Linked DNA regions of Xenopus tropicalis. The protein of the gene in region 2 interacts with the protein of the main gene of each other region in a pairwise test. Links are inferred from orthologs where the notes say so. Each region holds a gene or a part of one and is shown on either strand. Other genes may lie near its edges.

Region 1 (3,732 bases), on a different chromosome or scaffold from region 2:
TATCTGCTATAATGCTTACTAGGGCCTAAAGGGGTACTCCAGCCAAATACAAAACTTAAGCAATGTTCCAATATACATTGATAAAATATTGTTATAAAGCCATTTGTAAATGACCTATAGAACGGTCTCATGTTATTTTTTCAGAGTCAGAACCAGAATGTTTCAACTGCACTTGCATTAAAAAGTGCTTTAGAAACTATTAAAAACTCACTTTTCTTAAATGAGGTTAAACAAAAAAAACCCAGCATTTATTTGGACCCCTTTAAATATCTTAGTGACCTGCAGTTCCGACTGCCAATTCACTGCCTTGTTACCAAGACAGGGTCACTCTGCTCTTGGATCTGAGCTTCCAGGCTGTTTCTGTATTTACTCACAAAATAAATGGCATGCAGAAATGAAAGAAAAAAAAAAAAAATACAAAACACCTACCCAACAAGTTTCCAGGTGTTCTAAACACATTGGAAAGATAATTATGTTAACTGTGCTGCCCAGTAAGGGCAACAAACATGCCTGACAAAGTTTTAGCATTGAGCTTATACACAAGCCCATGTTTTTTCAAAACCAGACTTCCTTCCTTTAACTGCCGACCTGCCACAGATCTTAGTATATATGGAACTGGCTGCCAAGTACTTGACTGCCAGCTCCATTAATGTTACACTGCCAGTCTTAGATCTTACTTTGCCCCATCTTGCCAGACACGTGATGCAGCGTAGATTAGAGGCCAGCAGAGAAGTTAAGCCCAGTTAAATTTCAAGATTTCTGGTAAGGAACTTACCGCAGGCCTGAACCTGGGAGGTGGTGTTCGGTCCTTACGGGCTTCACGGGAGCGGTTTCTGACCACCTTGCTGTGGATGGCACAGCTGACGCAGTAATGCAGTTTCACATACAGCTTGGGAAGTGCATATGCTGGAAGAGAAGATCAAGGCCTTTGTTAATGCAATTTGATAAAACTAATATTTCATGGATATTAGAAAATACACTTAGTAACAAGCTAAGCTGTTCAGAGGTTAGTATTGTGTAGCCCTCCTACATAATTTCACCTGCAGCTTTATTCTGTAGGATGTTGTAGGGCTGCTGTGCCATTTAGCAGATACAGCAGCCCTATGACATGCATACTCTTGTATCAATCTGATCACAAGCATTTGGGAATGGGGTCATAGACCGTAGCAGTCACCTAACCATGAGGGAAGTCAGCCAAGAGGACAGATATGCAAGAAGACTACTGTACATCTGAACATTTACATAAACTCCGTGGTTAAGGGTGAAGACACAGCACTTCTCAGTAACAGCTTCTAAACTTAGTCAATAAACTTGTTCTTGGCCTACTACAAGGGAAGCAAATCTTTTCTGACAGCCCCTCCTATGCTTCAGTGCAAAATGCAGTTGCGTAAAATATTTGTTAAAGCCGAACATGTGTATAGCCTCATTTATACAATAATGAATTCTAAGAGCAAAGTGTACACGATCCTATGCAAATAAACTAAGCTTGCAAAAGGTTAAAATTTATACAATCTGCAGCCTGTCGTACCCTCATAAAAGCATTTAGCTAAAGGCCATGTAAATAACCCCCATCCAATGGGTACCAACTTACAATCAAAGACACTGGCCTCTGAGATATCCCTGACAGCTGCAGCTTCCACAATATTCCTTATGACAAACTTCTTGATGGCCTTGTCCTTTGGGACGCAGCGAGCGCAGTTTGTGCAACGGATGGGCTGGACATGACCACGGCCCTTCTTGGCGCGTCCGTTATTCCTTCGCTTCTTGGTCTGTGCAGAAGACAATGTGTTAAAATAGTAAAAATCATGTACGGTTTGTTAAGACAAACATTTTGCACTCAGTCTCACTAACCATCACATAGTACTTGCATCCCATTATTTTGTGCAGATATTAATTTGTGTGATTAATGAGCACAAAGGTCTATGGGGGATCTTGGCAAGGCTCCAACCTGTCAACACTAGAATATGGCAATATGTTTTAAATTTGCCCACATCTAGTAACCCATAGCAACCAATCTAACCAGCTAATGATACATGTTGACTGGTTGCTATGGATAACTAAAAAAAGATGCAAACTTACATTTTTTACATTAAGCCCAATATTTAATGCAACATACCCAGGTTGACACAGAATGGTGCTGCCTTTACCCTAAAATGTGCAAATCCCATTATATACTGCTACAGTCTCCCACTGAGCACCAAGGGACGCAACTATCGTAAAGCAGCACCGCCCGGACATAAACATTAGAGTAATACCGCTGTAAGATGCCGAGGCATAGACACAAGCCAATACATATATCCGTGTATAACGCAGGAATAGTGACGGGCACCCAGTCAGTAACCCAAATGCGACATACGATAAATCGATGTAACTCAAACGTATGTTTGGGAACGGAAGGTTGAAATCAGCCGCAAATAGTTAATTCCCCATGGCTGGTACAGCGCTTTACCCCTGTGCCTCGGAGCCCCGGCCCGGATCCCACAAGGGGAAGGCGCCATAGACCTCGTGCTATTCCCCAGCATGCGGCGCGCACAGCGCCCTGTCATTCTACCGCCGTGTATCGGGAAAAGCGCACAGGCCGCAGCACTAGCGATACTATACGGGTGGGGTTTATAAATACGAATGATTGTGCCTAACGCTGCCTCTCCAGGCAGCAACTTCTCACCATTTTGGAGTCGAGGGCTGAAAAGAGGACCGGAAGGTGCCGCGCTGCCCTTATAAAGCCCAATCCCTGCGCGACGGAGATGACGTAACACTGAAAACGATAAGACGAGCCACTCTGTTGGCTGAGCGCTTTCCTACTGCGCCTCGCCTGGGTTCTTAGTAGGCGTACTCAGTCGGGTTGGAACTATTTTGCTTTCGTCACCGCGGAAGGATAAAGACACGCAATGTACGCTTCTATACCTCACATGGTTAGACTGAACATGCGCATTTCATTCGCTTATGGAGATGGTTCCGGTTGTACGTGTTTTTGCTGTTGGAGATAAAGTTGTACAGGAGAAGCACTTGCATAAAGGACAGTAGAGAATTCTCGTGTGAGCAGGGGCTGCTTGGGGCTAGAGCTTCCCAAGGGATTGGGGTCTTGAAAGAGCTACGGGGATGCTCTATGTGCAGCCGCAATTCATTTTGCGGGGCTTTTACCGCAGCTGAAATAGATGATATGGCATTTCTATGCGCTAGATACGAGTCGCATAATTGCATGATCCTGTTTATAACAAACGCACATTGCCTGTATTGCATGTGTCATAAAGCCCCGAACTGTAAAAGATATTCTGTACAGGACACATTCTGATGAACCCAAAGTTGGTAAATACAGGTATGGCACCTGTTATATAGAATGGTGGGGACCTGGGGTTTTCTGGATAAGGGGTCTTTCCGTAATTTGGATCTCCATACCTTAAGTCTGCTAAAAGATCATTTAAACATTAAATAAACCTGTTAGGATTGTTTTGCCTCCAATAAGGATTCATTATATCTTAGTTGGGATCAAGTACAGGTACTGTTTTATTACTACAGAGAAAAAGCAAATCATTCTTAAAAATCTGAATTATTTGATTAAAATTGAGTCTATGGGAGATGACCTTCCTGTAATTCGGAACTTTCTGGATAAGGGATCGCATACCTGTACTCCTAACTGCAAAGATTTACCAAGAAAAGCAATACAAGTTAGAATGTAATAAAAAATGTATATCAATAACTTAATGTTTGAAAAAAGTGAGGGAAAATGAGTGG
Region 2 (3,754 bases):
TAAATAATAAAAACCCTCATTTAAAAACTGCATTTTGTGTTTACTTGTGTTATCTTTGACTAATAGTTAAATGTGTTTGATGATCAGAAACATTTTGTGTGACAAACATGCAAAAGAAGAAGAAATCAGGAAGGGGGCAAATAGTTTTTCACACCACTGTATAATCTCTATATGGCCAAAGTCACACCTGGCTTGTCTCAGCCTGCATTTTGTAGGCACTCCACTAACAGTCACAGGTTTGGCCTGAGTGCAGCTACATGGAGGGGAGTGGAGATCAACCAAAAAAAAAAAACAAAACCCATTAATGTTAAGGTGAATATCCCTTTAACACAGGCACAATCACAACTGTGGAAACAAAGGCAGATTTATGAAACCTGAGGGTGCTGCATTAGTTTTATGAGATTTGGCAAAGGCCAAGCCATCAGCTTACGTGCACATAACTCCCATCAGATAGCTGGCAGCTTAGAGTATCCTATTGGGAGAGGACCATGTGGGATCATTGATGCTGTCCTTGCTCAGCAAGTAATCTGAGCTTAGAACAACTGAGCATGCCCACAAGCCAACAGCCAAAGCAAATTCCTGAGGGAGGGGGCTGAGTGGGTTACAGGAGGAGAAGCAAATCTAAGTGATTAAGGGGGTTGCAGCCTTACTATTAACCTCTGGACAACCAGTGTGGCAGGAATTGAAAGATTTCAAAGAGGCTGTTCACTGATTACATTTTTGTGTGTGGGGTTTACATGTCCTTTAAAGCTGTATTCTATATAGAGTTGTGAGCTAAATATAAACATCAGTCAGCAGTCTAAAGGAGAAAAAAAGCTCAACAAATTTTAAAGCTATAAATGTTAGACCCCATGTCTTGAGCTTCTATATCTGCCCAAAGATGCCCCCAATAGCTCCCATTCTTCTTTTCTGCTGACTCGCTGCAGTGTGTGTGTGTATACACACAATATACAATTCATAATACAAGCAGATTATTTAGTGCAGGTTCACATTACATGGCAGCCTAGAAACCAGTGCACACTGCATAGAATGACTTCTCTCGACCCCTAAGCTTTGCTTCTCTACAGCTGCCCAGTGCTCACTGAGCATGTGCAATGTCACTGACACTCAAAATAAGGCCCAACAAAACCGTAAGATGCATATTTCTATGGTATAAACATAAAACCATGGGTAATTAATATCACAGGGCTGCCGAGTCTCTGGCCTAGCCCAGAAGTTCAGTAGATGCAACAAAGCATTTCTAGTCATTATTTAGTGTTTATTTGTCATTTCATGGCAAACATTTAGGCAACTTGCAAATAGCTGATAATAAAAAGAGAAAAGCCACCAATACCAAGGCGCACAACAGGGCATGTAGAGCAGTAAATTAAAGACGAACTTAGAAAGGCAAATAAGTATTATATTTACCCTTTAACTATCAATCTATAAATAGCGAGAGTATTCGCTGTTAGTACGAGTATCTCACATCCTATTTGTGTCTGTTAGTTACCCTCCCATATAGATTGTAAGCTCTACGGGGCAGGGACCTCCTTCCTCTTGTGTCCTCGACTCTTAACTTATTGCAGCTGTATTTATCTGTATCTATCTGTATTTATTGTTGTACTTTGTATTTATCTATTATTATCTTTATAACCCCCTGTTTGTATTAATGTATTCTACTGTACAGTGCTGCGTACATAAGTAGCGCTTTATAAATAAAGACATACATACATACAAACATACATACATACATGCTCAAACCTCAATAAAACCTGTGGTGGGGCCCCCAACCCCCCATTCTACACATCCCTTCACTAGTTCATTAGTTAAAAGCCCATAAATGATCACCTTTCACGTACCATTAGAGTTAAAATACTGGTCAATTGCTCCAACCATCCACTCCGCCTTCTCCTGGCTGTGAGGCCCACCAAATCCATTCTCCACCGCGATCTATGAAACGACATTTGCAAGTAATGTACAGGCACAGACTCGCTTGCTTACTAATACCCGTATATAAAATGTTCATTGAATGCAGCAAATCACCTGCAGCACCGGCCAGCTGCCCAGAACAGCCCTGACAGCTTCGCCGAACAGCACACGTGAATCTACGCAGCGCGCCGCCATGACACCTCTCTCCCAGCAGCAACCGCGTCATTCAGGCCCAAAGGAGGAGGCGCCGATCACATCGATAGAGAATGCCGCAGCCATCAGCGCAGAGCGGATCACAGGAGCGTCTCCATGGAGACAGGCATAGTCATACATGCGCACTATAGGGGAATGGCAGCTATTAATCAGCTTAGTAACTGCTGCTCCGTATGGCAAGGCTGTAGGGCCCAAGGGGTCCCTGCTAGTATCAGAGGGGCACAGTAGGAAGTAGAAGGGGGACACACAAATTGGAAAAATGTTAAACACTTGAAAAAAAAAAGAAATGCTGTGGTGGAAACTTTCTGACCACTCCCATTTTTGTGACCACATCCCTAAAATATCACTCCCATTTACAAAATTTGGCAGGTTATTTAAAATTTTAACACATGTTTGGGGGGGTCTTGGTTTATTGTGTTATTACAATTTTGATTGTAATTGTATCTTTTTTTAGCATTCAGTGCAGGAGATCAAAGGGAAATGAGGGACAGAGTACACAGAGGCCCAAACAGCCCACAACAGCCCAATAATTAGTGACTGTCTATGGCCAGGGCCGGATTTCTACTTGGGGCGCCCCAAGGCCGCCCCCATTCGACGCCCCCCCCACCCCCGCCGCAAAAATGCAAATGCGCCTAACTTGCGCATTCCCCATTCCTCCGTATGGGAGCAAAATGTTAAAATTTGCTTGCAGCGGGGCGGCATGCCACCCCTGTGTATGTGCCGCCCTAGGCCCGGGCCTTTGTGGCCTCGCCACAAATCCGGGCCTGTCTATGGCATCTTACAGCAGTGCCTGTGCTACAGAGGAAGCAGGCCCTGGATTTGCAGTGAGGCCCTAATAATGAGTAATTTCAATAATCATATAGTATTCACATTAAGTTTTGCCTGATGCACCACACTCTGTTACAGTGCAGTTAAGCACGCATACTGGCATAACTATAGAGGAAGCAAACCCTTCAGTCACGAGAGGGGGGCAGACTGTGGGGTCTGCTACCTCTGCAGCTCTAAAAAATTCCCCTCCCGAGCTACTAGCTTACCTATCTGGTGTGTTTGGCTGAGCGCTTGAAGGGAGGTCCATGCCAGGTCCCCTGCAGGTTTCTTTGCAGGGGGGCCCAGAGCAGCATTATTACACCACTGCATCCACATCATAGGCAAGTGTTGCACAGTAATACATAGTATTACCCCCATTGCAAGCATGCTCTTCTATGTCACTAGTGAAAAATCCATTGTGGGAACAGTGCCTGGCACACTAAGTTACATTTGCACAGCACTGGAGTATCACACGGTACTCCAGCATGCCAAAGAGCATGCTCAGCTGATGCTTTTGCCTTTTTCTGTGCCACCACACCATTATTCCTGTCAGGAAAAATCGGTGGTGGGCACAGGCAGCTGCAGTTGGTCTTATGATGGACATGGAGCTAAACATATAGAGCATACCTCCCAACATTTGAAAAATGAAAAGAGGGACAAAAAGATTTGGCGTGCGCAGCGCGGCAAAATTTTTTGATCACGCCCCCTTTTGTGGCCACGCCCCAATTACCACACCCCATTTAAAAAAAATACCCCTTTTATATAGATGAAATGGCGGGTGCAGACGAAAATGTGCTATACCCTCATACTGAATGACCTAAGGAAA
Region 3 (3,754 bases), about 46 Mb from region 2:
CACTTGGCCTCCTATACCTTGTCTATATAGCTGCACTCCTGCAGGGATCTCTCCACTAGGCACTAGTCTTGGGTAACTTTCTTCTCGGGTCCATGCTGCCTAGAGATTTGTATCCGCAACTGTCAGAACAATAAAAGAGAAGGGAGAATTGAACTGAATTGATATTTTGTAATGAAAGTATATTGGAGGTAGGTTTCTGGAGGTAAGGAGCCTGAAAGGGGATTTTATTTTTGACTTTAGATCCCCTTTAGGATCAGATCCACCTTTTCAGGTCACATATTCCCAGTATTTGTCTGTATATAATTAAAAAAGTCTCTTCTCACATACCATTTTTCTTGACTGTGTCATATGATATAGTTGTGTCAGTAAATAAAAAAATATTTTTAACAAAGAAGTATCATATATATGTAATTGCAGGGGCTAAGTATCAGTGTCAGAATGAGATGCCAGGTGCACACTGCCAAAACTTTAATTCCTCCTCTCCTCCTTCAAACTCTTTATTATCCTAGTCTCTTTTCTCTACATACTAACGTTTATTCATCCATTTACCAAGCTTCCATGTTCCCATCCAGAAATAGGCTAAATAGTTAGAAGCAAGAGGGCCCACTGACACCTGGGCCCACAGGGAGTTTCCCTGGTATCCTGGTGGGCCAGTCTGGGACTGGTAGGTATAATTAAATATGAACTTTGGACAGTGGATGCTTGCATTGTTGTACCAGTGCAACTTTGCCTCAAAAATGTGTCCAGAAGGGGGAAGGGGGGGCCTGCTGCATGCCCTGCACCTGGGCCTGGGGAGGTATAGTTCCGCTACTGTTTGGAAGCATAAATCAGTTTGGTGTAATGATCTCTTGTACCTGTTATCAGTGTTGGACTGGAATACCAGGGGCCCACCAGAAAACCTTAGAACATGGGCCCACTCTCCAAAATATTATTCTCCTATTACATGCTAGCATCTATTTTTCCATCTATTATTTGTATTTGTTCCCATTCAGAAATAGGGAATGACCATGAAACAGGCCAAATGGTTTGGAGCAGGAGGGCCTACTGACCCCTGGGCCCACCGGGAGTTTCCCTGGTATCCTGGTGGGTCAGTCTGACACTGCCTGTTATAAACTTAAAATATACCAGAGAATGCATATCACCACATAATTTCACATTTAAATATTCCTTTTTATCTGTACTTCTTCTATTTGCTCCAGCTCCCTATTTTGGTCCATCACACTAAAACGAATCATTTATTAGTTCTTTGACCTGGTTAGTAATTTGTATTGGATAATGTATGTGAAAGCAGGCTACTCAGCCTGGAGCTTTGCAGGCAATAGTAACATAGTGCTGTGAGAGGCAGATCACTTGGCACACCACACAGCTATAACCCTCTATGGAGCAGTTTGTATCATAGCCACGGTTTATTACAGCACATTCATACTACTTGTGCTTGTGGTAGGTTCCTAAAGGAAAGAGCGCAATATATCCCCCTTCTGGTCTCCAGGGGTAACTACAGGTGTGAGCGGCGCTCTGAGACAAGGGGTAAGGTAATGTTCGTCCATGTGATACAGGCCCGGATGTTTCCTAGCTCGTTTTCCCGGGGATAGCGCCTACTTGTCCCTCCTCCTTACTCTCGTAGAGATGTGACTACGGAGTCCCAGGGTTGGTTATACTTGTCCCTGACCGCGTTTTGCATGGCTCCAATTTGATGGTTTCCCAGGGTTACACACGTTTGTCCCGCGTCTGGCCTCCACGGGCCTGGCTATGTTTGTCCTGCCGCTGGTGCAGTGACGGGCTGCTGTATTTAGGGAGCTTCAGGGGAGCAGGGAAGTAATACGGTATGTTTCAGGGGTGGGGTTTATAGCGCCTTTGTGAGCAGTGCACTTATCAGAACTCACAAACCTGTGTCTAGTCTGTGGCCTTCTAGCTAGTTTGGGACTACAGTTCCCAGCATCCTTCACATACAGCCGAACTACAGCGGTAGAGTCACTATTTACAGTAACGGACACCAGTAGCAACTATGTACCATAAGGCCACAGGCTGTATTGATTGGGTAATGGGTGTGTGGGCCTGGCTGGGAAGGGAACAGGTTATCGGATAGCATTTTGTTATATGTACTTGTATTTTGGGCCTTATTGCTCCTTGTCCTCCCTCAGCCCTGTCCCACTGCCTGATCGCTAGGGGAGACTAAGGTACAAGCTCGCAGGGGGACACATAATAATGGGACACATAGCCCAGTAAGGAATGAGGGATAACTGGGGCAGTGCTGGGCATCACTTTCCTACCATCACTCCTGCCATGTAAATGGCTGCTAACAGATATGGAATTGGCTGCCCTTTATATGTTATAATGTTTCTCTGATGCAGATACATGAAATCCATCATTAGCTGTGACCAAACAAAGCCTCACACGGGATATTGTGTTCAGGGGAGACAGTATGTAGCCATGACAGGTGCTTAAACCAGTGATTTCAGGCAGATATTTTAGTATGTGAGTGACTTTGGGCATTTTAAACATGTTTCTTCGGCTGATAAAAAATATGTGGTGATCAAAGTGCAGAAAACATGCCTTTTTTGAAGGGTGAGCGCTTACGAGAGCCTGAGGATTGTCCAGCAGACAGTCACACTGTTCTACCTGGTGCCCAGCACTCTATATACTGAGCTTTTACATAAGTGCAGTGATGCCAAAGTAAAGACGGCTTGTGGGCACATAGCAGGGACTATTTCTCTGCACCTTGCTCAGAAAAACTGTTATACATTTGCAGCCCTGCACTGGTAATTTATTTAAAGAAGTAAAAGTGTATACAGTCCCTAATGTTGTGGCCCAGGCTTTTGGGTGTCTTGTAAAAATCTTATTTATAGTCTGATTATCAAGAGAGCTTGTTGGGTTGCAGCATATACACAAATATCCCTGGTGAAGCCTCCTTGGTTGTTTAAAGATGTTGCATCATTGACAACCCTGCATATTAGACTTAGGTACAATTATAATATTAGCTAGGCTTGTGCTCTCCAAAAATGTTTATTAATTCTGAAAAGTATAACTATAAACACCAATATTACTCCATGTGATATCTACACCAGGGGACAGGAGCCTAGTGTGGTACTACATGCCTGTCAGTGCCTGGCAGGATGGATCTTGTCATGAAAATGCTTGTGTGCACACAGACAGGAAGATGTCTTTCTGTCAGCCAGGGTTTGAGTAGATTGTCTTATTCTCTAAAAGAAAAAAACCCTGGTGTAGCATTAATTGTATAGTTTCATTTTTTAATGGGAAAAAGCAGTAGTTGCAGTATTAAACAGAGGGTTATTTTAGTGTATTGTATAGGTGCATTGACTCCAAAAATGAATAAATAAAAAAGTTGCCCTGCATGTTTCATGCCTTTCATGAACACTACGACGTAGTGCCCTTGAGCAGTATGAAACCATTTGCACTGTATCAATTTACTTCTAAAATATTTAAAATATTTTTTTGTATTTTGGAATTCTTGCATCCTGTTCCAAAATAAGGTAGCCACACGTAAAGATGGCCACATGTGCCAGATTCAGCTGCCCATATCAGTCCCTTAGAGCGATTCAGCAGCTTATTTGCCAGTGTATAGGCACCATCGACAGGCCTTCCCAAACGGCATCTGACCTGAACCAGTGGCACCTATGCCTGCCATTTTAATTTGATTGTTTGGCCCTAGTAAGTGGGCATATCGGGAAAAGATCCTCTTGCTTTATGACATTGACAAGCAAGCAGACCTTACAGTGTATGGCTACCTTTACGA

What was found.
Region 1: the proteins of tsr2 (region 2) and rps26 interact in binary tests that used the Homo sapiens proteins (3 or more experiments, as listed by UniProt). The two-hybrid records come from large-scale screens. The link is inferred for Xenopus tropicalis from reciprocal best matches to the Homo sapiens genes TSR2 and RPS26.
Region 3: the proteins of tsr2 (region 2) and zbtb9 interact in binary tests that used the Homo sapiens proteins (3 or more experiments, as listed by UniProt). The two-hybrid records come from large-scale screens. The link is inferred for Xenopus tropicalis from reciprocal best matches to the Homo sapiens genes TSR2 and ZBTB9.

The regions. Positions count from the first base shown.
Region 1 is NC_030678.2:137,759,056-137,762,787, forward strand, and holds the start of rps26 (40S ribosomal protein S26), read right to left. Parts: upstream 2,837-3,732; 5' UTR 2,669-2,836; coding exon 2,666-2,668; intron 1,770-2,665; coding exon 1,592-1,769; intron 907-1,591; coding exon 776-906; intron 1-775.
Region 2 is NC_030684.2:25,372,998-25,376,751, reverse strand, and holds the start of tsr2 (pre-rRNA-processing protein TSR2 homolog), read right to left. Parts: upstream 2,348-3,754; 5' UTR 2,135-2,347; coding exon of another isoform or gene 2,104-2,134; coding exon 2,023-2,103; intron 1,930-2,022; coding exon 1,839-1,929; intron 1-1,838. UniProt on the Homo sapiens protein: May be involved in 20S pre-rRNA processing.
Region 3 is NC_030684.2:71,796,153-71,799,906, reverse strand, and holds the start of zbtb9 (zinc finger and BTB domain-containing protein 9), read left to right. Parts: upstream 1-1,467; 5' UTR 1,468-1,527; intron 1,528-1,550; exon of another isoform or gene 1,551-1,647; intron 1,648-1,653; exon of another isoform or gene 1,654-1,823; intron 1,824-3,754. UniProt on the Homo sapiens protein: May be involved in transcriptional regulation.